Linked DNA regions of Cricetulus griseus. The protein of the gene in region 4 purifies or fractionates together with the protein of the main gene of each other region. This does not show direct contact. Links are inferred from orthologs where the notes say so. Each region holds a gene or a part of one and is shown on either strand. Other genes may lie near its edges. The genes, in order: importin subunit alpha-5, Cdkn2aipnl, Cdkn2aip and Xrn2.

What was found.
Region 1: the proteins of Xrn2 (region 4) and importin subunit alpha-5 purify together in Homo sapiens (affinity purification with mass spectrometry; 4 studies listed by BioGRID and IntAct, with this or other methods). This does not show direct contact. The link is inferred for Cricetulus griseus from reciprocal best matches to the Homo sapiens genes XRN2 and KPNA1.
Region 2: the proteins of Xrn2 (region 4) and Cdkn2aipnl purify together in Homo sapiens (co-immunoprecipitation; 6 studies listed by BioGRID and IntAct, with this or other methods). This does not show direct contact. The link is inferred for Cricetulus griseus from reciprocal best matches to the Homo sapiens genes XRN2 and CDKN2AIPNL.
Region 3: the proteins of Xrn2 (region 4) and Cdkn2aip purify together in Homo sapiens (affinity purification with mass spectrometry; 4 studies listed by BioGRID and IntAct, with this or other methods). This does not show direct contact. The link is inferred for Cricetulus griseus from reciprocal best matches to the Homo sapiens genes XRN2 and CDKN2AIP.

What each region holds. Positions count from the first base shown.
Region 1 is NC_048597.1:53,645,347-53,649,147, reverse strand, and holds part of importin subunit alpha-5, read left to right. Parts: intron 1-2,466; coding exon 2,467-2,592; intron 2,593-3,801. UniProt on the Homo sapiens protein: Functions in nuclear protein import as an adapter protein for nuclear receptor KPNB1. Binds specifically and directly to substrates containing either a simple or bipartite NLS motif.
Region 2 is NC_048600.1:66,236,060-66,240,424, reverse strand, and holds the start of Cdkn2aipnl (CDKN2AIP N-terminal-like protein), read right to left. Parts: upstream 2,899-4,365; 5' UTR 2,827-2,898; coding exon 2,588-2,826; intron 448-2,587; coding exon 348-447; intron 1-347.
Region 3 is NW_023276807.1:39,008,457-39,011,371, forward strand, and holds the end of Cdkn2aip (CDKN2A-interacting protein), read left to right. Parts: coding exon 1-632; 3' UTR 633-2,146; downstream 2,147-2,915. UniProt on the Homo sapiens protein: Regulates DNA damage response in a dose-dependent manner through a number of signaling pathways involved in cell proliferation, apoptosis and senescence.
Region 4 is NC_048599.1:31,982,527-31,986,327, forward strand, and holds part of Xrn2 (5'-3' exoribonuclease 2), read right to left. Parts: intron 3,704-3,801; coding exon 3,631-3,703; intron 3,411-3,630; coding exon 3,360-3,410; intron 2,898-3,359; coding exon 2,740-2,897; intron 1,742-2,739; coding exon 1,667-1,741; intron 1,583-1,666; coding exon 1,449-1,582; intron 1,351-1,448; coding exon 1,293-1,350; intron 1,210-1,292; coding exon 1,102-1,209; intron 1-1,101. UniProt on the Homo sapiens protein: Possesses 5'->3' exoribonuclease activity. May promote the termination of transcription by RNA polymerase II.

The DNA.
Region 1 (3,801 bases), on a different chromosome or scaffold from region 4:
GAATGCTGGAATTAAAGGCATGTGCCACCACCACCAGCTTTGAAGACAGGCTTTTAATAACAGTTTCAGTCTGATTGCTCATAATGGGTCTGTTATATAGCTTTAGGACTTAATTTTGGTTAATGATACACATTTAAAAATTACTTTTCTGGGTTATCTAGTTTTTCAGACAGGAGTTGTGAAAGAAGGTTCAAAGCTAGTTGTTTTTCAAGTTCTAATTTTGTCATGGATTTCTGGTGGTGGATGAGCAAATAATTTATTCAGTAGTGAAAGTATAAAATCCGCCATGAAGCTCCACAGCTTCAGAATGGCTGCCCTAACTGTATAGAGGTTCACTAAGATGTATAGACTTCAAATCTGGTTGCTTTTGGTGTATGATGTTTATATTATTTGCAATTTTTTTTAATAATGAAAGTTTATAAAATAAACTCTTAACATTTGTGACAAAATTGTTTTTAGAAAGTTCTATTTACTTTTTTGATTTTCTGTCATATAAGGGCAGAATATTTGTCCCCACTGGCTCTTCAGCCTTTTGCCACATTGGAGATGCAGTAAGAAGGTCTCTTACACCAGGTATTGGTGCTGTAACTGGATTTTCCAGCCTCCAGAACTGGGGGAACTAAATCTCTGCCGCCTCCTCCTCGTCCTCCTCGTCCTCCCCCTCCTTCTCGTCCTCCTCCTTAAATAAACAACACTTTTAGCTTGTAGTTTAGTAGGTAACACGTGGCTTTGTTTTAGTTTTCATTTATTTTATTGTGAAGAATTTTTAATTTTTTCTTTTTAATTTACATAATTAAGATAAACATTTACTCTAGTGTTTTTTGTGTGTGTGGTTTTTTTTTTTTTTTGGTTTTTCCAGACAGGATTTCTCTGTGGCTTTGGAGGCTGTCCTGGAACTAGCTCCTATAGACCAGGGTGGTCTCGAACTCACAGAGATCTGCCTGCTTCTGCCTCCTGAGTGCTGGGATTAAAGGCGTGCGCCACCAACGTCCAGCTTATTCTAGTTTTTTAACATATATTTCATGTATTTTCTTAAATTTATTTTTATTTCATGTGCATTGGTGTTTTGCCTGCATATATATCTGTGTGAGGGTTTGGAGATCTGCCTAAAATTGGAGTAATGAACAGTTGTGAGCTGCCTGGTGGGGTCCTCTGGAAGATGAGCCAGTGCTCTTAACTGCTGAGCTGTGTTTCCAGTCCCGTGCGGGGGCCGCGCCCCCCCCCCCCCCCCCCCCGTGTGTGGTTGTGTGTGTGTGTGTGTGTGTGTGTGTGTGTGTGTGTGTGTGTGTGTGTGTGTGTGTGTGTGTGTGTGTGTGTGTTTCATTTTTTTTGAGACAAGGTTTCCTGTGTGACAGCTGTGGCTATCCTGGAACTCACTCTGTAGACCAAGCTGGCCTCCAACTCACAGAGATCCGCCTGCCTCTGCCTTCCAAGTGCTGGGATTAAAGTCGTGTGCCACCATACTTGGCCCCTATTTGTAGTTGGCTTTTAAAGATTTATTCATTTTATTTTATGTGTGAGTCTTTTGTGTGCATGTGTATATGTGTACAACATGTAAGCTGGGTGCCTATGACGACCAGAGGAAGGCATCAGATCCCCTAGAACTGGAGTTGAGGATGGTTGTGAACCACTATGTGGGTGCTGGAATTGAACCTGGGTCCTCTGCAAGAGCATCAAGCGCTCTTAACCACTGAGCCACCATCTCTCCAGACCATAGTATATTTTTTAATACTAATGTCATTGTAGTTGTGTATTATGGGTTTTGTTCTGTTTGTTTTCTCAAGAGCAGAGTATGACTGAATCTATCAAACTGTGCTTATATTCAAGATCTTCTCATGTTTGACTCCCAAGTGCTTGATTATGTACCACCACACATCCCAGTGCTTGTGAATGTACACAGTGAAACCAGATTCATAGTCTTTAATGTATTTCAGACTAGTACTAAATAGTTTTTAAAGGACTGAAACGTTGTCCCAAATGGTAAAAGCACTTGTCACCAAGCCTGATAGCCTAAGTTTGATTCCTAGGACACATGGTGGAAGGAGAGAACCAACTCCAGCAAATTTTTCTCTGATTTCATGTGTACTATGGTATGCTCAAGTCCAAACACATACATCTTCCCCATGAATAAAGCTATTTTTTTTTTTTTTTTAGAATTCCAGAGTTTTTCTTCTACATTTGTAGTAAAATAAGTTTGTTTTAGGTTTTTTTGTTTGTTTTGTTTTTGAGACAGGGTTTCTCTGTTTTTGAGACAAAAATAAGTTGAGTGAAAAATGCACTTATTACTACCTCTTGGGAGGTGGACAGAAGATGATCCAGGATTTCAAGCTCATCTTCCAGGATGCACTGAGTCCAGCCTGTGCTGTATAAGACCTTTCCTCAACAGAAAAACCAACAAAAATCCAAAACCAAATGATATTTGAAACTATACCGTAAGTAAAACTTAAATTTTTTTTTTTCTTTCAGGTAATTTTGAACTGCTCAGCTCTTCAGAGTTTATTGCATTTGCTGAGTAGCCCAAAGGAATCTATCAAAAAGGAAGCATGTTGGACAATATCTAATATTACAGCTGGAAATAGGGCACAGATCCAGGTAATGCCTTTTTATCCCTGTGTGTGAGATACATTTTCAGAAGATTTTATTTATTTTTATTTATGTGTATGTGCCTGTTTAACTGTGTGTATTATGTGCATGCGGTGCCCTTGGAGACCAGAGGAGGAGGGTATTGGATCTCCTAGAATTGGAGTTATAGGCAGTTGTGAGCCTTCTGTAAGTGCTGGGTATTGAACCTGGATCCTCTGAAAGAGCAGTAAACACCTGAGCTGTCTTCTCCAACCCCTTTTCTATCCTTTCAGTAATAGGTGAAGTTATTTTGGTCAGCCTTTAAAATACAGCCTTCCTTATTTCTTCTAAAACTACCAACGACCAGTGTCAATATATCAGTCTAAGATTATTTTCTTCTAATGTTAGTTTTTGATACTTAGACGATGTATTTTCTTTTTACCTTTTAAGTTTGCTGATTTTACCAAAGATCAAAAAAAAAAAACCTTTGTGTTTTCAGAATGTTTTGGTGGACTATATGCTAAATAAGTTGGCTTTACTTCGTATTAAATTATATTTTCCAGTGAACCCATGTGTTGGGTTGTGTAAATTTTTCATGGACTATTGAAGGCCTTTTTTGTTGTTTGAGACAGGACCTCATTTTGTTGTAACCCCAGCTGGCCTGAAACATACTGTTTAGACTAGACTGTCCTTAGAACTCAAAGAGATCTTTACCTCTTGAGTGCCAGGATTAAACATGTATGCCATCAGGCCCAGGAGGATGTTTTCTTTAACTATGCCCCTTTGGAGAATTTCTCTCTCTCTCTCTCTCTCTCTCTCTCTCTCTCTCTCTCTCTCTCTTCTCTCTCTCTCTCTCTCTCTCTCTCTCTCCTCCCTCCTCCCTCCCTCCCTCCCTCCCTCTGTCTCTCCCTCTGTCTCTCCCCCTCCCCCTCTCCCTCTCTGTCTCTATTTTGATTTTATTTATTATCTATACAATGTTCTGCCTGCATGTATGCCTGCAGGCCAGAAGAGGGCACCAGATCTCATTATAGATGGTTGTGAGCCAACACATGGTTGCTGGGAATTGAACCCAGGACCTCTAGAAGAGCAGTCAGTGCTCTTTACCTCTGAGCCATCTCTCCAGCCCTATTTCTTTTGGATAGAGGAAATTGTACTAACCTGTGTTAGGTTCCTGGGCTAGTTTCAAGCTTGAAGAAGGTATATGAGGAAGACTAGTGATGATATATAAGTGGGACTGAG
Region 2 (4,365 bases), on a different chromosome or scaffold from region 4:
TCTCTGTGCTGTGTTTCCTCAGAGTCCTTCAGGAGCAGTACAGTCGGAAAATATTTGTAGCTTTTTGAGGCTCCTCCTTACTGATCCCCAGTTTATCTAGCATAAAGGACCTGGCTTCACTCCCTGTCATCAAGAGAAGTGTCCTAGACAAACCAAGGAGATCGAGCCTGTGTGTTCCTCCACCGACAACGTACAATTTGTCATGCTGAGTTGTGATCTAGTTATGAGAAGGTTTATACCAAGTGTGAGGAAATAATGAAGGGCTTAAGACTGTAGAGCAGGAACTAAGAAGGCTCAAAAACAACACGATCCAGAGTCCAAGTGGAACCGTCATGTCTACTCATTACCTTTTTCATTAATTCACTTCTGGTTGTAAACTGTGGCAGGTCTTCCACTTCAATCCCATCAGCCATTTCCATCACCTTGTCCAGAAGATCTTTATTGTAACTGCACAACAAAAAGCAGTAAGGTAAAAACCTGGGAAGACTCACTGTCACTATGGACTAAAAAGAAAGTGTAGTTTCTTAGACTGTAAATGCAACTTCTAGACTACAGAACTGTTTTTCATTGGTCACGTCATACCATGCCATCTGAGGTTTAAGCAATGCTCTTTTCAGCCTTCTCGGTAACCGGGACTACAGGGACACACCACTATCTGAAGTTTTGCAAGTTACTGACTTGATACTGCAGGGAAAACTACATTGTTCAGCACATGGTTAACAAGTGGCTCTCCCCACTTGTGGATATAGCACTAGGCTTGAAGAATGCCAATATAGCAGATGTTTGAAGAATTATAAAATCAGGGACTGGAGAGATGGCTCAGCAGCTAGGAGCACTTAAGGCTCTTTGCAGAGGACCTGGGTTCAGTTCCCACATGGCTAGAGTTTCAGTTCTCAGAGATCTGAGGCCCTCTTCCAGTGTCTGAGGATACTGGGTACATATTTGTTACCTATTAATACACATAAAATAAAAATAAATAAAAAGTCTCTCTCTCTCTCTCATTACAAAAACAGGAGCAGTTAAGAGCACTTGCTGCTGGGCATTGGTGGCACACGCCTGTAATCCCAGCACTCGGGAGGCAGAGGTAGGTGGATCTCTGTGAGTTCGAGGCCAGCCTGGTCTCCAGAGAGAGTGCCAGGATAGAAAACAACAACAACAACAACAAAAAAAAACAAAAAAATAAAACAAAAAAAACAAAGAGCACTTGCTGCTCTTCCAGGATCTAGTTTCAATTCACAGCACCTACATGGTGACTCACAACCATCTGCAATTCCAGTTCCAGGGAATCCAATGCCCTCTTCCGGCCTCCACCACCATCAGGCACTCACAGTGCAGACAGATGTGTAGACAAAACACCCATACATACAAAATTTAAAATAGTTGTAAATAAATAAAATTACAAAAACAGGAGCAGCATACATCAGGTAGTACATATTCATGGATGAGATCTGAGGGCCAAAAATTTGATTATTTTTAAAACACACAGAATGTTGGTCTAATGTTGGTTCTCAATTATTTGTATGACCTTGGCTCCTGTAAACTCCAATTTTAGAGGGTGAAGGCAGAAGGGAGAGTGAAGCATATATGTGTGATGGGTGTGTCTGGCACAGCTTCCCCACATCTTATTCTAACAAATATGTCAAGATCTGAAACCAAGTACCTTCAGGGTTGGAGATATAGCTCAGTGGTAGAGTACTTATTTTTGATATGTGCAAGTCTGGGGTTTCATGCCTAACACAAAACCCAAAAAGAAAACCAAGGAGTTTGTCCTGGAGGGGCCATGTGACCAGTTAGGCTACGAAGATCAGATCTGAGTCAGGTAATCCTATTTTAACACAACTTCAAGAAACTGTAGAAGCCAATAAGAGCTTGGAGATGCATGCTCAGTATATGAAATTCCAGGACTACCTGGCTACATAAAAAACCGGAGGCCAGCCTTAGTTATAAAGGATGATTGCCTTAAAAAATTTTTAAAAAAAACAAAACAAAAAACCATAAGGGAGTGTAAAAACCTGGTGCATTTTCCCGGTGGAGTAAAAGAAGTGCCTTGTCAGAAATCTCAAGGCCAGGCTCTTGTCGTCCTGGTGTGATCGCAAAAGTTCAGGGGGGCTTTGGAGCAGCAAGAAAAAAGCATCGTTACTTTCTTAAGGAGGAAAATTAAGAGGAAAAGATTACATCCTGCCTTAGCGGTGAAATCCACCAACCAACGGTGCGATGTATCACATCCTCTCTTGCTAGGTGTCTTCAACTAGAGGAGGTGGGGGAAGTTTCAGTTTCCGTCTGCACTTTTGTGTGTGACAGGAACTAATGGGCTTCGAGCACTCTGCAAAGGCAATCTTCTGGGCTCATAAACAGTACTAAAAAATGCCCATGGCAATACAGCCGCCTTCCAGCCTACCTGCACTGCACTCTACATCATTTAACTGCTGTAGTCATCACAGCCATCCATTTACCAGAGGAAAGAGAGGCTCACAGAAGAGACACATCTTCCCCGAGGAAATGCTAAGAGGGGATCAGCCAAGGCAGGAGGAGGTTGGGCCGGACTAAGGGTGGGCAGATGGGGTCAGCCGGCCGGCGGGGTCCGCACCTGCAACCCAGGAAGAGGTGGTTGGCCCAGACCATCGATAGGGACAGCAGCTGGTCCAGGCGGCCGCCGCCGTCGGGTGGGTCTCGGTAGTCCGGCAAGTGGCGCAGGATGAACTCCATGCGCGCTTTCCATTGCTTCTCGCTCTCCGAATAGGAGCGGAACTGCTCGGCGAAGTCGGCCGCCTGCCGCACCCCGGAAACTAGCTCCTCTACTGAGACGCTGGCCTCGCCACCCACCATGACTCCCGCCGCCGCCGTCGCTGCCGCCACCGAGGGTCGCACGAGCCCGCCGCCTTCCCGACACGCCCCGCGCCGCCGACACGCCGCTAGAGCGGCCACGACCCGGCGCGACTGCTCTGGAGGACTGACTTGGAGCGCCCTCGAGGGGCACGGAGGCCTAGTGTTCCCAGGGCTGCAAGGGCCCATGCAGGGTACACTGTGTAGACAGATGCTGGGGAAACTGAGGCCCACAAGCACCGAGTCGGCAGCTGGGTGCACGCTGGGGCTCTGTGGTACCCCTTTTGCCCGGGGGTGTTCCCAAGGCACCGCTCTATCCTCAGCCACAGCTGAGGCTTGCCCTAAGTTCTGTGGATCTCCCCGGAGAGTGATGTCCCCTGTTTTATGGATCCCCTGTGGTCTCAGGTTGTGCCCTAACTTCCTGCAGAGTTATCCATCCAATGAGTACCCTCCAGGCACTTTGGTGCCCAGGATGCCCCGCTCTAAAGAACTTTGTGAGGGAAGTAGATGTCAGTGAAAGAATTGCCCAAGTAAATGGAACGTTGACGAATCATAAAAGAAGTCAGATTGCCACAAACCTGAGGAAGCAAGGTATGGAGGTGGTGGTGGGGAATTAAGTGAAGAGCACCTGAGTTCAGTCTTTGGAACTCACATAGTGGAAGGAGAAAACCAACTCCTGAAAATCGTCCTTTGACCACTGTATGCTAGTAGTGTTGTATGTGTATACACACACACACACACACACAGAGAGAGAGAGAGAGAGAGAGAGAGAGAGAGAGGGAGGGGGGGAGGGAGGGAGGGAGGAGGGGGAGGGAGGGAGGGAGGGAGGGAGGGAGGGAGAACAGATAAATAAATTTGAAAATATGGACAGTTGGGTACAGAAGAAAGAGCCTAGAGCCCGGGATCTTGAGCTCCAGTGAAGGTTGTAAGTGGTGAATGGTCCCTTCATTATCCGCCAGGGTCTTACACCACATAGCCTAGGGTGGCTTACAACTGTTTTCCTCCCTTCTGCAGCTTCTATTGTGGTGTTAGGACCCCAGCAGGTAGAAATGGCATCCAGTACACAAATGGAAGAGCGCTGTAAGGACAAGCACCATGCTGTGTGACATCCCATCATGTCAGGAAGTCATGGTATTCACACTCTGGCAGGGAGCATCCGAACCAAACATGAGAACCCAAAGACAGAAGCAACTTCTCCCCAGGGTTCAGGGATCTAATGATAACAGCAACCAGAGTTGAGTTCCCAAAGTGCAGGTGGCATGCCCTGACAAGCTTATTGCAGTGGCAGATTCCCAGGTAAACCCCTGGATACTCAGAGTCAAGGTTCTAGGTAATTCTGATTCTAACTTCAGTGGGCCAGACTCCGAAAACATTCAATGTACCAGGCACAATGGCAGACACCTTTTGTCCCAGTTACTCCATATGTTGAGGCAGGAGAATTACTTGAGCAGTCATCTGTATCATAGAGACCCTCATCTCTTAAAAACATTGTTTAGGGTTCACTGAGCTACATTCTTGGTCCCTTGATTGTGTACTGCAATG
Region 3 (2,915 bases), on a different chromosome or scaffold from region 4:
CTTCCAAAAGCAGCTCCCAGAGCAGTGGTTCCGTAGCTTCCAAAAGCACTTCCTTAGCAGGCATGTCTCAGCTAGCTTCTAAGAGTAGCTCTCAGAGTAGTACTTCACAGTTGCCTTCTAAAAGTACCTCGCAGTCCAGTGAGAGTTCTGTTAAATTCTCTTGTCGGAAGTTAACCAACGAAGATGTAAAACAGAAGCAACCTTTCTTCAATAGACTGTATAAAACAGTGGCATGGAAGTTAGTAGCTGTTGGTGGCTTTAGCCCCACTGTGAATCATGGAGAGCTGCTAAATGCAGCTATTGAAGCTCTGAAAGCAACACTGGATGTGTTTTTTGTCCCGTTGAAAGAACTGGCAGATCTGCCTCAAAATAAGAGCTCTCAAGAAAGTATTGTTTGTGAATTGAGGTGTAAGTCAGTGTATTTGGGCACCGGCTGTGGAAAAAGCAAAGAAAATGCTAAGGCAGTTGCATCAAGAGAAGCACTGAAGCTATTTCTCAAGAAGAAGGTGGTGGTGAAGATATGCAAAAGGAAGTATAGGGGCAGTGAGGTAGAAGATCTAGTGCTCCTTGATGAAGAGTCGAGACCTCTGAACTTACCTCCAGCATTGAAACATCCTCAAGAATTACTGTAATGTCTCCCAAGTTACTGCTGCATCTAGTACCTGGTGTTTGAAGAGAAAAACTGGCTTTTATATAATATAAAACACTGGCTTTCACAGATTTTGTATTGCTTTTTTTCCAGTTTTGCAGAAAATTAAATTCTAGTTCTCTTCACTAAAGTAGAAGTTGTAAATAATTTATGAATGACAGTACATATTAAAAGGTATACATTGACAGCATACCAGTATGCTGTTTTATTTGCTGAAGAAAATACTGTCTTCTATTTTTAATGACATATTAGGTACGATGTGTAGTTCTGTAGAATCTTAAATTTTTTGTACTACTACCAATTTGGTGGAAATGTATTAAGTTGTCTACCATGCTTTTTTGTTGTACTCTAACTTGATTAAATCCCATCAAAGAAAAGGGGACCACAGTATTTGAATGTGTAAAACAAGGTTTTAAGAATGTTGCTTGTAATGTTGAACATCTGTTAAAGAATAAGAGTAGTTATCTCAAGCTATTTTCATGATAAGTTGTAAACTTTTTGTTTTAAGATACAAAACATTATAAAGTACTTCCTGTTATTTTACTCTGAAGTTGTTTAAAATTCACCATGATTTTGACTGCTGCTGATTGTTAAGCAGGTTAATTTATGTTTTGAGATGAAATGCAATTTACACTTTCTTAAAACATAAATGTGGGTTTCTATATTAAGCATATTTTGTGACTACTAATATTAACATTGATTTGTTTAGATATTAAATGCTTTAAGCTATTTTACCTTTTCAAGAAGTTGTGGTTTTTTTTTCCTCCTCCCTACCCTGAAGTCATAACCCAGTCTTGCAATTTGGCTTCTCACTACTATTCATAGTAAACTACAGTCAAGTAGTTTTCCTAGTAATGCACATGTTTTTATCGGTAGGGAAGTCAAAGTTTATATCTAGAACCAGGTGGTTTTTGTATTTGCAGATTTCAGAAGAATGTGGAGAAGACTAGAGAGCCATGGTCAGTTCTTTAATGGTTATGTTCATGTGAATTGCATCTGTTGTAATGAAGTAGACTCTTGCTTGTGTCTTAGGTGATTCTGTTAATCTAGTATGATTGATTTTTAAAGTCTGGTCTAAGGTATTTGATTACCCTAGTGGCCTTTGGCTTTCTAGGTGATAATGTACAGAAAGGCATCTTATAGTCACTAGCTGTATTGGAATTGGAAGGTTGAAAATAAGCACAATTTAAGTGTGTAAAAATTATTTTGTAGTTTAGAAGTAACAAAGATACTTAGTTTCCTGTGCTTGAACTGAAATAATCAGGGATGTTTGTATTTTGCCAGATAACCTTTTTTAAATTGTTTTTTGGGGGTGGCTCATTGGATATCAGGGCACAATCTTATAGTCTGTAAATGGGCTATCTTTATATATTGTGGGGAGCAATAACATAAGTAAATTGTAAAACACCTTCAAGTTTCTTCTGTGCTGTATTTTGTGAACCAATGCTTACCAGAAAAGTGAGCCAAACATTAGAATAAATACATTTCTGAAATACATCTGATTAGATGATTTGGTAATTTCCTAAAATGGCCGTTTTAAGCAAATTTATAAACGCTGTTATATTGAAAATTTTTTAAGTTACAGTATGCTTTTGACATGGAGTCTGGTCTCATAGGCCTATAATTCCAACGACTTGAGGCTTAGTCAGGTAGAGCTGAAGTTAAAATCCTTGGAGCTTTACAGAACAGTCTGCAGCTCTGTCTGATAATAAAAAGTAAAAAGATCCTGAGATATAAATCCAGTGATATAGCTGATTGTAGTGGCACACACCTTTAATCCCAACACTCAGGAGGCAGAGGCCTGCCTGGTCTACAGAGTGAGTACTAGGACAGCCACGGTTACACAGAAACCTCCCTAGAAGCTCCCAACCCCCACTCCCAGAAAGGTAGGTGATATAGAATGCTTGCTTAGATGAAAAGAAGGCCCTAAGTTGAAGTTGTAGTACCTCCAAACAAAAACAGGTGAAAACTTGATAATATATTTTCTTGGTTTTTGAGAAGGTAAGTGTGTTATGTCCTTGCTGGTCTTGAACTTGCAAAGTATTCCATTCTCTGCTTCCTCAGTGCTGGGGCTACAGATGTGTGTAGCCAGTCTCACATGGTTATATTTACAACAAATCTATGCTCTTAATAAAAATGTAAAGAGCCCTGTGGCTATAGAGTTGGCTCTGAATGCTTGGGAGGCAGAGGCAGGCGGATCTCTGTGAGTTCAAGACCAGCCTGGTCAACAAGAGCTAGTTCCAAAGCCACAGAGAAACCCTGTCTT
Region 4 (3,801 bases):
CAGGATTTGGGGCTGATATTGTTCCTCATTAACAATGGTCCATTCCACAGGTTTGCACACCCATGTCCTAAAACAGAAGCCAGCAGTACTGGTGCCTACCCTAAGTGCATTCTGCCAAACGCAATGGAAAACTTTAATTAGATCTGCAATTGGTGCTTTCTTCCAGGATTGGGGTTTTGTTGTTTTTCAGGACAGTTTCCTTATGTAGCCCAGGCTGTCCTGGAACTCACAGATCCATCCATCTGCTTCTGCTGGAATTAAAAGTATGTACCACCACACCTGATCAGGAGAGGGGATTAACAAAGTATACCCAAGGATGAGGCTATGAAACCTCCAAAGGTATAAAAACTCTTTCTTATTAATGGTCAATGTTTCCCAAGCTCTCATAGAACACTTTCATTCCACATAAGCTCCCATAGACTCTCACATTCCTACTCAAGGCTTCAAGTACCTCCTCCCATCAACCAAGGTTCTAAAATTGTCTTCAAGACTTTCCCCATGTCAGGCATCCTGTAATCCCCTCATACTCATCTCCAAAATTACTTCAATTTGTATCTGGTCTCTTACTCCAATCTCCTATAACCCATAGTATTTACTATCTCAGTGAATGGACTCAACAAACACTGAACTGACTAGGATAGAAATTTGGACTTCTCTATATAATCATATAATCAACTTCCAAGTGCCTTGTTACTTCAGTTCCTTCCTCTATGTTTCAACTTACTTAGAAGTTACCACCCTCCACAAAGCCTACATTCTTCCATCGTTCTGCCCTAGCTGATGCCATCCAACTCAGACTCCTAGAATACACACTTCCTAGGCCTTACCCTGTTTTCTAGAGTATAAAACATGGCAGTCATGTTTTGGCTAGTTTTAGATTTATATCCTAAGTAAGATTAGGAAGAGAAAAACTGCAATACAACTCAAATAATGTACAATACACAGTTCCATACAGCAATCATCACAGCCTTTATAAAACAGCCAAGTACCAAGCTTAGGATTATATAAGCAACACATTACAGTGGTATTACAACACGGACAAGTTAAAAAGTACATCACAGCCTATGAGAGTAGCAATTTTAGCTACTGCAATGTATTTACCTCATCATCTTTTCTCTTTTTAAAAATGCTATCCTCAACTTCACCAACTGCTAACATGATCATCTGTACTCTTTGCAGATTGACATAACCACTTTCTGTAAGGTAACCCTGTAAGTGATAAAATACATGTAAAATAATGTTCATAGAAAACCAAATACACCTGCTTTTAAATTACTCAAAAATAAACTTACCCCAGTTTTGTGTACCACGTTTTTGTATATGTTAACCAAACGATCAATTGCACCTTCCCTGCCACCAGGAGACAAACATTATTCATTAGGATCAGTGGGCTCTGTAAAGTCAAGAAGGCTGAGACAGTCATTGGAACATCCCACAGATACACATACCTAATCTCTAATGACGGCAAGTGAGGAAGGAAATCATTCCCCACAAAGAAGCACATGAACACCCAGTCATCAATGCTCCTCTCCACATCAAATGGGAATGGTAAGCTGGCCATGGTGAGTTCTCTTTCCAGATACTACAACCAAAAAAGAATGCTGACATCAAAGCAATGAAAAGAACATGTTTGAGGAGTGCAGTTCCAATAGCCAATGAAACATACCTCTCGAAGGACATTCAGCCGAATGAAGATAAACTCCCCTTCTGCACAAGGAAGACTATCTGCAAGTTCATCATGCTGCAAGAAAGACAGTGCAGATTATGCCCAACCTAAACCCTGCAATTTTTTCTAGCCACACAAATTGTAGGGATTTTCTAATGTAAGACCCCATTTAATATTTAAGTACTAAATTTAAAAAGTTCACCAAATCATTTTAAAATAATCACATCTAGACCAGAGATAAGCAATTATTTGGTATGAAGGGCCAGGAATGCATATTTTCCCTTTGGGGAGACACATACAGATGAATATTCTTTCACGTTCTAGAATACTTTTAAAACCCTTAAAAATGTAAAAGCAGCTGGAGATCAGTGATTTAGGAGTATTTGATGTTCTTTCAGTGGACTCACAGTTTACAGCACCCATATCAGGATGTCCACAATAACCTGTAACTCCAGCTCCAGAGTACCACACCCACACATACAACTTAAAATAAAACCTTTTAAATAAAATAAAATAAAATAAAACATTCTTAACTCATAGGTCCACATGAAAGACATGTTTGCCTTTCATCACCTACGTCCAATCAATATTAGTATTTTGTTGTATATTCCTCTGGTCCCTTCTTGGATACACATATACTTCATTTATTCTATCTTCTGTCTAAAATCATATAGTTCATCTGTTTTTTTTTTTTTCACTTTTTCTCCAACCAAGTGAGCTCAAATAAATGAAAAAAAAAAAAAAAAACAAAAACAAAACATAACAGTGCCATGGTATTTAATATATTTGATTTGTAGTTCCTTTAAATAAATAGTAATCATTTGAAATACCTTCCATAAACAATTCACATACACTGGGCATTGTCATCTACAAGAACTTACCTTCACAGAAACAAAAATTATATTACAGATTTATTTCACATTACTTTAAAAGCTGCATTTCTATGAAATACTTTTATGAGGCAGTCTGAATAGACTTGATGATAAACTGTACATTTTAAAAAGATTAAACAGTATACTTTATGGCAGTGTACATATTTTCAAATGCAGTACTATCCATCTTAAAGTTCTTACCTTTCCCTTCTTTTCTCTTGGCAAACCTTCACAATCCTTAACCTCATGTCCAAACTGATTACAAAGAGCACATGGTTTGGGTTTGTTTGGTTTGAATTCTTCTCTGATTATGGTGAAGTTAGGTTCATGTGTAGCAAGACCAAGCATAATGAGATCAGCTATCAATCAATAAGAAAAAAAACAAGTGAATGGTACTTTGGAAGAATCCTTTACTTAACCATAATCAAAACACTACTAAACAATGACACAAGAAAAAGGCCCACTAAACAAAAAGCATGGGCAGCAAAACTCAGAAAGTCATCCCAGTAGTAGTTCTGCCTACAAAGTCATTCAGAGACATTGACCGACAATAAACCACAACTCGGGATTACATGTGGGAAACTGCCCATTGTAAAGTCAGCAACGTGCTACCTAAAGTTTGAAAAAACAAAACAAAACAAAAAGATCAAAATTCATGTGATCACTGACCACAGTGTAACAGCAAATTAATAGTGGTTCCTTTTAAACTTAGGCAAGACATCTAGGAACTGTCAACCAAACCTGAAATACCCACCACACAACAACCCACCAACATACTCTGGTTTAATCCAAGAACAGTAAATCCTCAAGAAGAAACATACCATCAGCTCCACATAAACAATGATGAGTATTTGGGTCATGGTTAGGCTGGGCTAAAAAAGGAGGGAAACACATATTTATAGAAACATATCATACACACAGAAGTAGCACAACTTGTCAAGTATTTTCTAGTTAATGGCCTTTTTGTTTGTTTTCAGGCAGTGCTTGGGACAGAACCCAACGTACCCCATGTGCAGGTAAATCTACCATTAAACTACATCTCCAGCCTGGGTTATGTTTGTTAGAACACACAATCATATACTTTTGAATTACCTCTTTGTCTTCTAATATAATCCATGATTTTGTGTTCTCCTTCACCAGGTGCACTAGCATCAGATAATATAACCTATTAAAAAAGGTTTTATATGTTTAGTTCACCTCCCCAATTTCTACCAGAACCAAGAGGGTATAACTGACTGCCTTAAGAAAAACTGAGTTGATTTC